2 linked regions of the Caenorhabditis elegans genome follow. The protein of the gene in region 1 interacts with the protein of each later gene in a pairwise test. Each region holds a gene or a part of one and is shown in the gene's direction. Other genes may lie near its edges.

Region 1 (7,582 bases):
CTACGTCACAAACTTTCATATTCATCAGTAGACGAAAAATGAATCAGTTCATTTAGCTCTAGATATTTATTTGATCAGCGGACTCGACTCGCTAGCTAAAATGAAACATCGCAGTAGTACAGATTTTCAGAATTTTTTTTTCCGAATTCTACGGAAGTAATGGAAAACATAGGAACTTCCTAATCACACAAGATGATACAACGCCAAAGTTGGCATTTTGCCAAGTTGGCCAGTAGAGACTCTGTGCGAGAGAAAAAGAGAGAACGTTGGCAATTTGCCAAGCTGTTCAAATGGACGGAAAGGACGCGCCGACGACATTGGCCCCCAGAAAATGGTGAAGCCGTCGAGACAGGGACCGATTTATTTACTCTTACGAAGTACCGCATATTTTAATCAGGAAATTCCAGTCAAAAGAAAAGTAGCGGAAAATTTGAAATTTTAAGGGCGGAAGATATTGTCTAGAACCTGGTTTTAGGCTCTCCAATTACGGTTTGATCTACAGAAAAATCGGAATTTTTAATTCAGAAAAATGTGATGTCATCTAAATTCCCACAATTCTGGTAGATCAAACCGAAAGGGAGAACTCTGACACTACTGGTCAAGTACATTTCAGTTCGGCATATGGAATTCTCCATATACAGATCCCCTGAACATGAGTTTGATAAATAATAATGATATCAGAAAAAAAGTCGTTATCCAAATCCGAAAATCCCACAAAATACCAATAGGAAAAATATGATTTAAAAAAGAAAAAAGGAAGAAGCATGTGCAACTTGGTTTTTGCTGTGTTGTCTATCGGTGAGTGTTATTGGCCAACAACCCTTTCCCCTCTCTACACCACAAAAACGCGCACAATCTCTTTCTGTCCGTCTCTCTACTCTCCAATAGTCTATCATCTGCTCTTCTCAATTTCACCTGTTCTCTGATCATGTTCTGACCACTACTCTGCGTCGTCGTCTCTTCCACCTCCTCCTTCCTTCCATTTCTACTAACCAATACTACTATTACGAGAGAGAGAGAGAGAGGGAGAGAGAGAGCGTGCTGCTGCTGCTGATGCTTGCCTTGCGCAGACCTCTTTTTCTGTGTGAGCGGTGGAGTGTGCGCAAAGAAGGAACTCATAAAACACTCACACGTTGTTCCCCCCGTTTGGTCCTCCCAATTCAACCACCCAGAGGTGCGCCCCCAGACGTTTTGGTTATGAGCGGCCAAAGGTGTGTATGTGTGTGTGTTTGAGAGTGAGCGCAGTGTGAGCGTCGTCTGTGTGTGTTCTGTTTAAATGAGAAAAAGAGCGGTTTTTGCTTTTCACCGCCGATTGGTACCCCCCTAAATGAATGATAGTGACATAGTGAGAAAGAGAGAGAGCATCATCACTGATAAGAAATGATAAGACAATTCCACTTTCTGACCATTAGTTCATCGTTATTGTCTAAGTGTAAAGTTTCGATTGAATTTTGACAATTTATGGTCTAAATAAGAAATAGTATTTTCTTTCTTGAAGAGTAAAAATATTACGCAACCGTAAAGTGTAGAAAGTTGAAGAGACCCAGACATATTGAAACCCAGGGGGCGTGGCGCGGGAAGAGCAGAAGTTGTGTAGATTTACGGAGCGTTATTGACGTAGATCTACATAAGTTCGACTCTTCCCTCTGGGTCCCGATATGTCTGCGTCTCTTCAACTTTTTACGCTCTGCTGCTGAGTAATAGTAAAGTCCTACCCACATGCTAAAAATTTTCAGAAGCTGCTGAATATTCTGGTGAACATTTCAGATTTAAAGATTTTTTTTAAAACTAGAGCTAAAAAAATTTTAGAGACGCGAAACCCAATTATATCTAAGTGACTGAATCTAGAAATCTTCTCTGGAAAGAAAGAAAATATTATAAATCTAGATCACAAATTTACAGATTTATCTGTTGATTTACAAACGTGCCTTTCAGAACTGATCTTACTGAAATTAATTTTCTCATTAAAAAATTTTAGTTTATAATTTGAAATTGTTATGTTGCTCCCTTGACACTTATCAACTGATTTTTCCAAAAAAACTATATATTAAAAAAATTAAAATCCTTCAGGCATGTCATCAAATCTCCTTTCGTAAATAACAAGGCTTCATTTCATTCTTCCTCCTGATACTATGGCTTTCGAAATGAAAATGCAAAACTGCCAGGTGCTCATAGCTCATTAAACGGATACACAGAATCACGAGCAAATTGGCTAGGATTAAAAATGGCAAAAGTCGAAACATCGTGCCCGGATTAGTGCATTCTGGAGGGGGAAAACAAAGTATTTAATTCACCTTTTCGAAATCAAAAGTGTGATGGTGAATGATCGGATTAGAGAGCTCCAACGAATCTCGTGAGGAAATTAATCTATGCTAAGCAACTGGAAATGTTATATCTACAAAATGGCTATTAATGTTTTCAGATGTTTTCAGCTTTCAGCCCACTCGTATAGTTAGGCCTTATTTTCAGATATTTTTCACCTATTTGCAGCTGCTATCAAGAATAAATCTCAGGGTTTTAGTTAGAAAACATGTTGATTCCAACTTGATGGAAATTATGGTGAAATTGCCAAGAATCGTCGGCAAATTGTGATTTTGCATATATCTGTTTTTTTTTGGAAATTTTAGAATTTCAAAAAATAAAAAATTACATAAAGGCACAAGTTTAAGTGTTTTCGTCTTATAGAAAAACTCCTCTAAACATTTCCGGCAAATCTGATATTCGGTAAATCGGCAAATGTACAATTTGCCGATTTGCCGAATTTGTCCTTTTTTTTTCTCGAGATGTATGAAATATGGGAGTGAGAAGAGAATTGCAAAATAGGAAGACACGAGATTCAAAATGAGGGAGTATGAGCCAAACAAGACGGAGAAAAGGCATAAGAGGAGCTCTGTGTTGAGGGATATATAATTTGTTGGAGGAGAATGACACGGAGAACACATTGCGAATATGGGATCAAACTAGAGACGCAGAGCACTGAGCAGATATCTCACAAACACCCGGTGTGTGGCAGATGGTGAGCCATTTTGGTCACTCTCTTTCCCTCTTGTTGTTCGCCTCCCTGAAAGGCAACTGCTAGCAGGCTCTGGCTACTCCTACTGACTGCTTCTTCATTGAATGCTCCTCTTTTCCATTGATGACGATTGAATATGCGAGAGACAGCCGGGGTCTCTAATACTAGGAGCCGAGTAGCATGAAATTGTTGTTGTGAAACTTATTAGAAAATGGATAAGTGTGGGGGATTTGTTGAGAATATTTTTAGCGAAAGCGAGAAATTTTAAGCTTTTGTCAGTACAACTGCGAAGTTATTTACCTCAATATGCAATATTACGGTAACACAAACCTCTTAGAATGCGTATTGTGCAACATAGTTGACGCGCAGAATATCTCGTAGCGAAAACTACAGTAATTCTTTAAAGGACTACTGTAGCTCTTTTGTCGAATTACGGGCACTATTTTCGAAATGAATTAATTTTCCAAAAGTGACAGCGATACTCATTTTCCGTCGTTTTTTTCGTATGATTCTTATCCATAAATAAATGATTTTAATTAATTTCGAAAATCGAGCCTGTAAATCAACATAAGCGCTACAGTAGTCATTTAAAGAATTACTGTAGTTTTCGCTACGAGATATTCTGCGCGTCAAATATGTTGCGCACTGGGCATTCATTTTGTGTTTTCGTAATAAAAGAAACGTTATGATATGTTTAACAAAATTTTGGATTTCATTTTTTTGATTAAAACTAACAATTCTCCAGTAATCTGAAAAATTGTCCTTTCCAAGCCAAAATAATATTTTAAATATATAACTCTTCTCATTTTCACTGATTATAATGATCAATGCATTAAAATACAGCTGCTAAAAAGCCAAACACCTTGTTTCCTTCAGATTTTCGAAAAATGGCATGTAACTCGAATGCGGCTGCCAAACCGACCACGAACAACAAAAATTCTCAAAATTTATAATTTTTATGTATATAAGCTTTTAGAAAAACATTTTTTCTATCCATTTATCTATTTTTATTATTTTATAATCTTCAGTATTAATGCTTTTAGCCACAGTCTTCATTTTCATCTCATTTTGCCATCGCCCCGCCCCGTGTGGCGACCGCGCTCTATTGCGAATCATTTTTCTCTCGCAATTTGCAGTTATTATTTCTCCCTTCAGTTTCACTATTTTCTCACAAAAATTCACCGAATAAAATGTTTTCTCTCAATAATTTTATGTTTTTTCTTATTTTTCTAATGCATATTTTAATTTTCAGCGGATAAAAATCATGGCTTCCATCAAAGAAGAACTTATAAGCGCGGCGGAAAGCGAATCGCAAGTGATGCAGATCGTTCAAGCGGCTCTCGAAGGAATTGATATGGATGCATTGACAAGTATGACACCTGGATTGCCACAAACTGTTCGTCAGACTGCGATCAATAGCCTTTTGAGCTCAAAGAAATTGGCTATTCAACAAGCGCCTGGCGGTGTGCTCCGGTTGAAAGTTAACACAAGTGAACAGATTGCGGGAACAGAAGAGGAGCAAGTGGTGAGTATTTCTTGCATCCGGAAGAAAGAAAAACTGACATTTTTCATTACAGATTTACAGTCTTATCGAAGAATCGAAGACGCGTGGAATATGGATAAAAGAACTTCGAGAAGGTTCAGGACTCAACCAGCTTCAACTTCGAAAAACATTGAAAAGTCTGGAAACGAAAAAGTTGATCAAGACTATCAAAGCTGTTGGAACTACGAGGAAGTGCTATATTTTGTTTAGTATTGAACCAGATATGTCATTGACTGGTGGAACATTCTATTCTGATCAACAACTCGATTCGGAACTCATCAATACATTGATCAGTGTTTGTGGTTCATATGCTGCCAGCAGACGAAAGCATGCGATTGATGAAAATCCGAATAATATTCAAATGCAAAGAGAAGCCAGCTATATTCGTCCTCAAGAGGTTTGATTTTTATTGATAGCTCTAAAAAAATTTTTTTTTAAACTCTAAATTGAAAATGTGAATTTTTTTAACCGGAAAATAAATTAAATTGATGTTTTTCAATTTTTTTAGCAAAAAATATGCGTAATCAATTTTAAAAAAATTTCCAGATAGCCCAATTCATCACCGAAAAACGAGTATTGAATGTTCCACTATCATTGGAAGATTTAGAAAGAATTCTCGAAGTCGCTGTGTTGGATGGAACAATTGAACGAAGAGCTGATGGAAAGATCCGTGCATGTCCACCACGTTCCAGTATTTCTCCATTAGTGTCGGTTCCGTGTGCTATTTGTCCAGTTGTCGAGGATTGTCGACCAGGATATGTGATCTCTCCTCAATCATGTGATTATATGAAAAATTGGCTGGCCGATCTGTAACTGCAGTACTCTCTAGTTAATTGTTTTGAGAACTCAGATCTTCAAAACCCGTATTTTTATTGTCCATTTTTGTTAATTTATTGATGCCTTTTTGTTGTTGATTCTCCTCTTTTTTTCTTAATTGTTAAATATTTGTTCTGAATAAAAAAATCTCATAAAAAGAGATACAAATGCTGGTTCTATTTCAGAAAGAATGGTAGGAAGTGACTAATCTTAATGTCAAACCATAATGATCGACCCTTGACGCGGAGCAGTTTTGCAAGTATGCGGCGCGGTTTTATGCATGTCATTTTTTTCTGGTTTTACAGGTTTCAATTTAAAAACCGGACTAGCCCGTAAATCGACAATAGCGCTACAGTAGTCATTTAAAGAATTACTGTAGTTTTCGCTACGAGATATTTTGCGTGTCAAACATGTTGCGCAATACGCATTCTCAGTATTGTAGGGTCCCGTAATATTAATTTTAAAAATGTTTTCTTTTTTTTTTTTAATTTTTTCCGAAATATTTTTAAAATATTACTTTTAAAAATATTTTTTTTGTCGTTTTGAAAAATAGGTACAAAACAGGAATTTTGCCCAAAAAATGAGTAAAACCGAGCGAAAAAAAATACTCACACATGTATGTCCATGTCTAGTACAAAACTCTTCGTAAATCGACATGCAAAAAACCGCGCCGCAGGCTTGCAAAACCACGCTCCGCTCCTTTTTAATTCAATAATTGCGAAATTTGAGATTGATTCTTTCGGCAATACTTTAATATTCAAATTTTTGTGGAAAAAAACCCTGATAAGGGCGGAGCATGTCTCTTTTTTCCGTTTGCCGACAAAATTTGAATTGATTATTGAGTGCTCATTTCCCTATTCAACATCCAAAACCACGTAGTTAATATACATTTGTTCAATCCAAAAGAGCTCTCACTCTCTTTCTCTCCCTCCTACATTATATTGCTTTCCATATTTGTTCGGATTCTCTGTATTTGTTTTCATATTTTCATTCTCTGATTTAATAACCGACACCCATTACAAAAAGCGTACTTTATGATTTTTTGAGATGAATATGGTCTTTAAATATATTTTTTTAATTACATGTTGTTTTGCTATTATTGTCCTATTGCATAAGACCGATAAAGTGAGTTTTACAGTTCTTGGGTCAGATTTTAACTTTGAAAAAAAAAACACAATGCGAGGTTAGGAATACGGTACCGGGTCTCGAAACAACCTAAAGTTTTGAAATGAACGCTTTGAAAAAGTGTATGCGCCTTTAAGATGTACAGCAGTCACGCAATCTTTGATTATTTTTAAACTCTTAATGATTAACTTTATATTTTTTGGGAAGTGTGGAGATACTGTATGAGTACTGTAGAGGTACTTCAGGAGTACTGTAGGATTACTGTAAATTAAGAAAATCCGAGTTTCTTTAAAGTTGAAACAAGTCCCCGAAAAAAAATTTTCAAAAAAGTTCATTTTAAGTCAGATATTAATTTTTGAAATCATGAAAATTAAATAAATATCCCAATAAAAAAATGCGATCATTTATATGCCTGGAGGTCAGTTTTTTTTTATTAAACTGGAAGCTTCTGGCACCTAGAAAAATGTTATAATTAAATTCTGGAAGCGCTTAAAATTTGAAACAAGTCCCCGAAAAAACATTTAAAAAAAGATAATTTTAAGTCAGATATTAATTTTTAAATTTATGCAAATTCAGTAAATCTCCCTATAAAAAAATGCGGTCATTTATATGTCTGAAGGCCAGTTTTTTTGATTGAACTGGAAGCTTCTGGCACCTAGAAAAATTTAGATATTAAATTCTGAAAACGCTTGAAATTTGAAAGAAGTCCCCGAAAAAACATTTTCAAAAAAAGTTCATTTCAAGTCAGATTTTTCTTTCAGATCACTCGAAACGGCAAAACTCTAATCCAGCTGAATTCTTTTAAACCAAAGTTTTTCGAAGAATGGAATTCGTGCGTTGCTCAAAAATTTCTGGACATAACTACGAACGCAGAAGACTTTTGGAACAGTTTCAAGGGAAAATCTCGAACTTGTGATTTTGATACAAATGTCCATCAATCTCTACGAGCTATTCCACTGAAAAATTCCGATGAGGTTAAATATGCAATATTGCCAGTTCGTGTGAGTTTTTGAATTTTTGAATTAACGATTTCCACTTTTTTACGAATTGAAATTTGTTTTAGAACACTCTGAAAGATGTGTTTA
Region 2 (8,691 bases), on another chromosome or scaffold:
TTCAAGCCTAAAAGTAAGTCGTCAAATTTAGACCCGTAAGATGTCGGTCGTTATAACTTTTTTCAGAGTTGAGCTATGAAAATGTGATCAACTTTTGAGATTTGAAGCTCGGATTTTCGGAAAAAAATAAATTTTTTTATTTTGAGTGTACCATGAAAGAGGGGTACCTCCCTCTCTTCCTGTGTAAGAGGTGATTGTAAATGAGAGCCATTCTAGTCCCCTTGTCAATGTAACCTATTACCCCTATACCAGGGGTGTGCGGCAAATTTGCCAAATTTGCCGAGCACGGCAAATTTCAAAAAAGTAGATTTGCCGAATTTGCCGAGCTCGGCAAATTTCGAAATTTGCCGCACACGTCAAAAATTTTACAGTACAATTTTGACTAAAATTATTGATTTTTTCGCCAAAAATTTAGTAAAATGACACAAAATTGAGCTATTTTGATGCTTAAACATACATACTACACGGAACTAATTCAGAAACCAGATATGTGTTAAGAATTTGGTAGTTTTGGTGTTCCAAAAACATCAAAAATTATCAAAATTTTCCGAGTTTGTTAAGCACGGCAAATTTGCCGAATTTACCGAGCTCGGCAAATTTGCCGAATTTGCCGTGCTCGGCAAATATTGAAAAAAGAGATTTGCCGAATTTGCCGAGCTCGGCAAATTTTGAGATTTGCCGCACACCCCTGCCCTATACCCTATACCCTGAGAAAGAGGGACTCTTCATGATCCATAGGTATGCCTGTCATTCTCTATTTTTAAACGTTCCTGCAGCAGTAGCACAACAGAGCCAGCAGTTTTCCTCTTCTTCTCCATCTTCTTCTGCTTCTTCCTCTCTTCCCAAAAAAAAAAAAAAAAAAAAAGTGAGGGGGCTCACTGCCCCCCCCCCCCTCCCCCCCCCCTCTTCTCCTTGAAGCTCATCCAGACGTCGCTGTCCTCCTCCTCCTCGTCCCCGGGGCGCTGTGTGTGTGTGTGTGTGCTCCGTGAGCATGTAGCAGCTTCAGCCCATTTAAAGGCGCACACTCTCTGCATCTCTGCGTGTCTCGACACTCGTTTTTTCTCTTCTTTTCTGCTGCACACACACACACACACACACACACGCTCATGCCAGAGCACTTCTTGCTCCGGGGGGCTCCGCGCGGAGCCCGAGAGGACCTCCTCCTCCTTTTTCTTCTTCGCTTTTTAGTTCTTCTTGCCTCGGTCTCGCCCCTTGTTTTGCTCTCCATGTAGTATATACATCTGGGTGTGTGTGTGTGTGTGCACCTTTGGAGCATTTTTTGAACTTTTCCAGAACTTTGGAGCAACATTTTCAGCTTGTTCAGTGCACTTTTTAGGCTGAAAATCCTATTTTTAGGTTTTCGAAAGTTTTTTTGGAGCATTTTTCGTGCAATTTAGGTGCAAAATTAAAAAAAAGGGTTTTGTAGTGAATTAAAATTTTTTTGAAACTTTCGCCTTTTTAAAAAAATGTTTCTAATATCTTTAAAAATTGGAATATTTTGGAAAACAATTTGTTTTCAATTGGCAATTTATTAATTCTGAGCTTCTGAGCGTAAATTTTTTTTTATTTTGGAGCAATTCTGAGATGTCTTAGTGCATTTTTCGGGCATACATAAAAAAAAATTTATCTTAATAATAAAAACCTTAAATTTAGGCTTCACCGTCTGGAAATTCAATTTTTTCAGCTGAAAAACTTTCAAAAAAAAAAAAATTAAATTTTCACATTTATTTTCTCTGGAATTTTGGAGCAATTTCAAAGCTGTCTTAGTGCATTTTTAGTACACAAATATTTTTTCATTTTTCTTAAATTTTAATAATCTAAGCTTAAATAAAGGCTTCACCGTCTGAAAATGCAACTTTTTTCAGATGAAATATTAAAAAAAAAAACCTCTTTTATTAATTTTGTGCTCCAAACTTTCCCACGGTACGCAAATCATGTAATATGTACTTTTAAACATTATTTTTCCAATCAAAAATATCCAACAGCTTTTCCTTACAATTTGAAAATTTTTATTAAAATTTCAAAAAAATTTTTTTTTTTTTTTAATTTCGAATTTTTTTAAACTTGTTGTAACTTTTTTCCCTGTCGGCGCCAATTAACAAAATACGTAGAATTTTGCGCTTATTGTTTTGTTAGTTAACAAATTTTTGACAACTTTCTTATCAGCTGAGATTTAGGTGTTTCAGTTCGCAATCTGCGTCTCTCCTTGCTCTCCTCTATTTTAAAACCCCCATAACTTTGTTCTTGTGAGAGTTATCAAAAAATTGTCAACTAACAAAATATAGAGCACAAAAATATGCACATTTTGTATGTTGACAATTTTTTGATACCTTTTTTAGTTTTCGAGATATCTTAGTTTTAGTTTAGCTGTACCTTTTTCTGGCAAAAAACTTCCAAATTTCGGCAATTTTTCGGCAAATTTCCCGGCAAATTTCGCCAAGTACATCGGGCTCTCAGACAAGTGGTCTGTGAGTGGAAGTCGATAAAAGTAGTTTACGTGCTCTCCGTCCCCCCGCTTCTTCTCCGTCTCTGCTTCTATTTCTCCATTGACTAGTCCCACTACTTTTTACGGGGCGGAGGGCTCTCTTGCACTCCAGCTTCTTCTCTTTTTGTGCTCTTTTTTGCCCGTATGTGGGTGCTCATTTATTTTTCTTTGGTTTTAAAATAAATTCGGTTTATTAGGCTACTCGTAAAAATGAAGAAAAAACTTCAAATTCAAACGACATTAAAAAAAAATTTAATAAAAATTTTTTGAATTGCTCAAAAGCCCCACCTATATATATATATAGCTCCGCCTACTTCTCGCACAGACCCCGCCCACTTTTTGACTCCGCCCCCTTATTGGCAAAAGTTCTTGAAAAAAATAAAAATAAAAATTCAAATTGAAACAATTTTTTTTTAATGAAGTAGTTTTTTTCTAAATTGATGAAAATTTCTAAACAGTTTACAAGCACCGCCCACTTTTTGACTCCGCCCCTTTGTTGGAAAAATTCTTGTAAAAAAAAATAAAAAATAAAAGCTTCTCTTTCAAACGATTTTTAGTTGGTTTTTGTATGAAAAGTTTTTTTCCTAAAATAGAAATGTCTGAATAATTTGCAAGCTCCGCCCTTTTCTTACCCAGACTCCGCCCCTTTATTGACTAATTTTTTTTTGTCCATTTACCTGAAGTTCAAAAAAAAAATTTACAGTTTCATAGAGTAATAATTTTTCAAAAATCTCTTTTTCCAATGTTTAATGTGTCATTATAAACCCGCCCAGTTTTAAGCTCCGCCCATTTAGGCCCCGCCCATTTATGACCCAAATATTTTTTTCTCTATTCACCCGTGGATTTCCCTCCAACAAGTTACCCCAAAAATAAAAATAAAAATTCCTGCAGGCGCCCACCGGGATCTAACATCGTGGCCTCTTCCAACAACAACCATCAATCGTCTACACCATCATTCGGCGGTAGGTTGGACCGTTTTTCTTGTTGTCGACAATTATGCTGTGTCAGGACTAGAAAATCTGAATTCAGCACGCTGAGAGCTTCAAAATAAGCCCCATATTGCCTAGGTTCTAATAAATATGAAAAAATTTGGTCTCGCCACGAAAACTTGTAGGGTTTGGTAGTCTTGGTGAATTTGGGTTAGTCTTATTTTTCCTAGTTTTTTTTGATAATTTTGACACAATCTGAGCTAAAAATTGAGAAAAAATCTTAAAAAATAATAAAAATATGGATTTTCGAAGATTTTCGAAGATTTTCGAAAATCGATAACTTTGCGAATTTTAATTTTTTCTACCTGAATTTAGTTTCGAAAATTTTGTAATTCTTTGAAAAGCTTTAGAAAAATATATTTAACATTCTACACAGTACCCCGGGACTTTTCGTGGCGGGACCCAAATTTTTAAAATAGTCGGGGCCTAGCCAAGATGGGTGTTAAATGAAAGGTCTCGAAGGGCTAAATTCAAATTTTTAGGTTACAAAGCTTTAAATTGAGTTTTTAATTTTTTTTGAAATTAAAAAAAAAAAAAATCCAAAAAAAAAATCCAAAAAAAAATCCAAAAAAAAAATTTCAAAAATTTAAATTATTAATTTCAGGTTCGTGGGGTCCCTACAACAAGGCGGACCACCTAGTCACCAACTGAATGCTGGGCGGTCTGTCGGGACCCGGTCCGCCGCCCCCACCACCCCCCGCATCCTCCTATGGCATGGTGCCAGGCCCGTCGACCTCGTTCACCAACCATCTGGGTCCCACGACGTCATCCGCGTCTACAGTACCACCGACGAGTGACGCGTTGCTCCTGCAACTCCGTTCGAGACCCAATTCTCGCGTTTTTCGCGCCCTTTTTCAATATCTACCGTTAAGGGATTCGCCGAACGAGAATCCACAGCTCGAGCTGAGCCTTCAGCCGGGAGATGTGGTTCTGGTGAAAGGGGAAATGGATTCGGATGGATTTTATTGTGGGGAAACGCTGGATGGACGTCAGGGACTGGTACCATCAAATTATGTAGAGAGGTGAGCATTTTGAAGCTTAAAAATTGAGCTTTTTATACTTTTTTGGGCGAAATCTCACTTTTTCCCGTGAAAAAAGATTTAAAATTCGGAGTCTGAGATTGAAAATACAAAATTCGAATTCTCTGTGTTCAGAGCTTTCAAATGACCCCCATATTGGCTATATTCCGCCAACTTTGAAATTTCCGGGTCCCACCACGGAGGGGTACTGTAGTTTTCGTGGCGGGATCCGAAAATTTTCAAAAATGACGGAACCTAGCCGATATGGGGGTCATTTTAAAGGTCTCAACGAGACGAGTTCATTGGAGCAGGTTTTATGTGAAAATTCGATCATTTTTGAGGAAAAAAAATTTTTTTTGTTCAAAAAAGTTTTTTTTTTTTAATTTTTGTTTTAACCATGTTTTCTGTAAATAATCAGAATGAGCATAATCTCAGCTTCAAAATAGTAATCCGCCATACTTTGAAAATTCGGGTCTCACCACGAAAACTCCACCGGCTACTGTAGTTTAGACGGAAAGTTTGCAGTTTTATATTTCTAATAAATTTTTGAAAACTTTTCATATACCCTGTAAAAAATTTGTGCTGAGTAGCATAAAAATTGACAAAGTTACGGATTTTCGAAAAGATTCAAAAAAATCAAAATTTTTAATTTTGTAAAATATTTAAAAATTCTGTAACACGAAAAAAAGTTTGATTTTTTCTATTTTACCATTATTTTCGAATTTTTCACGCTATTCGCTTTAATTTGACAGCCAACATTCCCAGGCTCCGCCAATTTTGAAAATTTTCGTGGTGGGACTCAACAATTCAAAAAATTTCAATTTTACCAAGAACCTAGGCATGATGGGGGTCAAATGAAAGGTCTCAAAAAACTAAATTTGAATTTTGTATTAGTTTAACTTTTTTGTCAGCATCCTCAGGGTTACGGTAGATTTTGAACTTTCCATTGGAAAATTTTTTCGGAAAAGTTTCGAAAATCCATAACTTTTCTCATTTTTGAGATTTTAACTTGAATTAAAATGTATAACAATTGTGAGTATTTGAAAAATATGGCAAAAATAATATAATTCTGAAAAACTCGAAAACTACAGTTCCCTGGGGCTTTTCGTGGCGGGACCCAAATTTTAAAATTAAAAGGATATAGGCATGTGTTGGGGTCATTTTGAAGCTCCCAACGCGGTGAATTTCTAATAAAACGAAAAAAATTTATATTTTGAATAAGGAAAATGAAAATAATTTTAAGAATAATTTTCAAAAAAAAAAAAAATTTAAAAAACTTTTTTTTCTAAATTTTTTTATTTCTCCAAAATTTAGAAAATAAAACCAAATCTTTTCAGAGTTCCGGATTCAGTGCTCCTGGCAAATGCACGGGCTCCATCACCATCATTCCCGCTTCGAATACCCCAACATTTCTCGACAATCACACACGACTTCTCCTCTCCGGATCACTCAACACTACCCGATTCTGTAAGTTTTTGAGGAATTTTTAAAGAAAATTTGGCTAAAAATTCTTTCAAATTCAGTTTTGAAAAGCAATTTTGAAATAAAAAAAATTTAAAAAATTTTCTGGAATTTTTTTTTTTTTGAAATTTTTTTAAATTAATTTTTTCAAAAATATATAATTTTCAAATTTTTCAGGTTTGCCCTTACCCACCAGCTGACGTCACAAAAGTTACTGTACAAGAGATCAAGAACAACGAAACGCCTAGGAGTGAGTTGAAAATTTTAAAACATTCTCGAAAAAAAATTTTTTTTTTTCGAAATTTTCAAATATCGAGCCGCTACTCAGCCAATTTTCGAGATAAGCTCTTGAAAACTAATAATTCAATTTTTTCTTGCCAGTAGCTTCAATTTAACACCCATATCGGCTAGGCTCCGATGAAAAGCCCAGTTTTCGAAATTTTTTCCGGGTCGCGCCACGAAAACTCTGGGGGTACTGTAGGTGATAGATGTCTTTGACTTTTTGTATTTTTGCAAAGTAACCAAACTTAAAACACATGTTTTAGGCTAAAAATCAGCTGAAAATCTCAGATATTGATAAAGTTACAGATTTTCGAAAAATTCCAAAATTTTTAGAATTATTGTGTTGATTTTTTGAAAAATCTACATTTCGTAAACTTTCATGGAAGATATATTTGGCTAAAATTATTGAATTTGGTACAGTCGTTGTCTCTTTTAGGCTCCGCCTACTTTTGATGGGTCTCGCCGCGAAAAGTTTCGAAAATCCGTAACTTTTTCAATTTTCAAGATTCTAGCACAATTTTTTTTTCAAAACGTATGAAAACGTGTTGAAAATTCGTTTAAAATTAAACTTGAGCACGGTATTTGGATCTACAGTAACCCAACGGGTTTTCGTGGTGGGACCCAGAAATTTTCCCAATTTTTAAAACAGGCGGATTATAGCCAATATGGGGCTCATTTCGAAGCTGAAAATGTAGAAAAAACGAATTTCTGAAGTAAATTTTAAAATTTATTGGAAGTAAGAAATTTTAGTGAAAAAATAAAAAAATAAATATAAAATTTCCCAGATTTATAATTTATTTCTTTAATATCTGCACTGAATCTATAAAATTTATAAAAGAATAAAGCCTCAAAACTTTTTGAATAATTCATTTTCCGTGGGGGCCCCATATCCAAAAATGGGCAAAAAACGGAGACGCAGAGCACCAGCACTAATTCCATTTGGAAAGGGGGCTCACAAAGTGTGTGTGTGTGTGTGCTCCGTGAGCAGTAGTAGGCAGCACACAGCTAATCTGAACTGACAGATGACCCGTGGAGAGAAAAAAGGAAAAAAATGGGGAGGGGGAGGAAGCTTCTTTTATATTGAAAAGAGCCGGCGGCGAGCGGAGCTCCTTGATATTTTTGGGTGTTTGAGGGACTGAAAGATGAAACCAGAAATTTGCTAAAAAATTATTTTTACAGATTTTGAAAATGTTAAATTTCAAGAAAGTTATGGGAGTTTAAGTTTAGCTAAAAAAAAAAAAAAATTTTTTTCAATTTTTCAAAATTTTTTTTTCAAAGTTCATCTCAAAACGTGTGTTTAATCACGATTTTGAATATATAAAATTATTTTATCAATACAATACAGGTTAGAAAACCAGAAAATATTGATTTTGAGCAAAGTTATAAAGTTTTGAAATAATTGAAACAAAATTTGAAAAAACAAATTTTTTTCAGATTTTTTTAAAACTTCAATAATTAACAACTTGGAGGTTTCGGAGTCAAATTTTTTGAATTTTGAATTAGAAAAATCAATATTTCTTACAGTACCATGCCCTCGAGAATTAATAGTGGAAAAGAAGTTATCACGTAGCGCCCTAGTTTCATGGAGTTCGCCGGAAGAGTCCTTTGTCGCCGTTTCCCAATATCACGTGTGTGTCGATGGAACCGTTAGAGCAATTGTACCCGGAAGTTATAAAGTGAGTTTTTGGGATGAAAATGGGTTTTTGAAAATTTGGAAAATATGGATTTTGAGCAAAGTTATGGGAGTTTTTCGGAATTTCGATTTGAAACTTTCAAAACATTTTATTTGATTTTATTTTTTGACAGTAGCCTAAATATAATAAAAAACATTAAATAAATAATTTTAATTTCAATTTGCATTTTTCAGAGCTCAAAAATTCCGATTTTGAGCCAAGTTATGAGATTTTGAAAAAAATTGAGGTTCAAATTTTTTTTTGAAATTAAATTTCCAAATTTTTTGCAGAATAAAGTAGATTTTTATTTTTAAAAAATACAATAAGAATTTACCAAATTTACTGAAAACCTGACAACCGAATTTACCGGTTTTCAACAAATTGTATGTTTTTTAAATTTATTTCAAAAAAAAAAATTTTTCGAAAGTTTTTTTTGCTAACTATTTATTATTTTCAAAATTTGAGTGAATTTTTGTGCTCAGCACGCCGAGACCTTTTAAATGACCCCCAACATGCCTAGGCTGCGCTCATTTTCGAAAATTTCTGAAATCTCGGGTCCCACCACGAAATTTCTCAAAATGGGCGGAGCCTAAGAATCTTGGTGGTTATTGGAAAGATTTTGATTTGACGAAAATCATTTTTATCAATTTTAAAAGTTTATTACAAATTCCAGATAATTAAATTCGAAAAAAACTTAAAATCAATATTTTCCAAATTATCGATTTTTCCGGGAAAAAAATCAATTAAAAAAATCAATAATTTGATTTTCAGTGTCGCGCTTT

What was found.
Region 2: the proteins of W09C3.4 (region 1) and rimb-1 interact in a two-hybrid assay, tested with the Caenorhabditis elegans proteins (one large-scale study listed by BioGRID).

Annotation. Positions count from the first base shown.
Region 1 is NC_003279.8:4,700,345-4,707,926, forward strand, and holds W09C3.4 (putative DNA-directed RNA polymerase III subunit RPC6), read left to right. Parts: upstream 1-4,259; 5' UTR 4,260-4,277; coding exon 4,278-4,538; intron 4,539-4,590; coding exon 4,591-4,953; intron 4,954-5,102; coding exon 5,103-5,369; 3' UTR 5,370-5,541; downstream 5,542-7,582. Other genes in the region: W09C3.3 (Methyltransferase FkbM domain-containing protein), read left to right, coding at 6,420-6,497, 7,259-7,498, 7,561-7,582. UniProt on the Caenorhabditis elegans protein: DNA-dependent RNA polymerase catalyzes the transcription of DNA into RNA using the four ribonucleoside triphosphates as substrates. Specific peripheric component of RNA polymerase III which synthesizes small RNAs, such as 5S rRNA and tRNAs.
Region 2 is NC_003281.10:1,784,959-1,793,649, forward strand, and holds the start of rimb-1 (Variant SH3 domain protein), read left to right. Parts: upstream 1-3,374; 5' UTR 3,375-3,447; intron 3,448-4,078; 5' UTR 4,079-4,125; coding exon 4,126-4,496; intron 4,497-5,830; coding exon 5,831-5,960; intron 5,961-6,131; coding exon 6,132-6,204; intron 6,205-7,760; coding exon 7,761-7,912; intron 7,913-8,680; coding exon 8,681-8,691.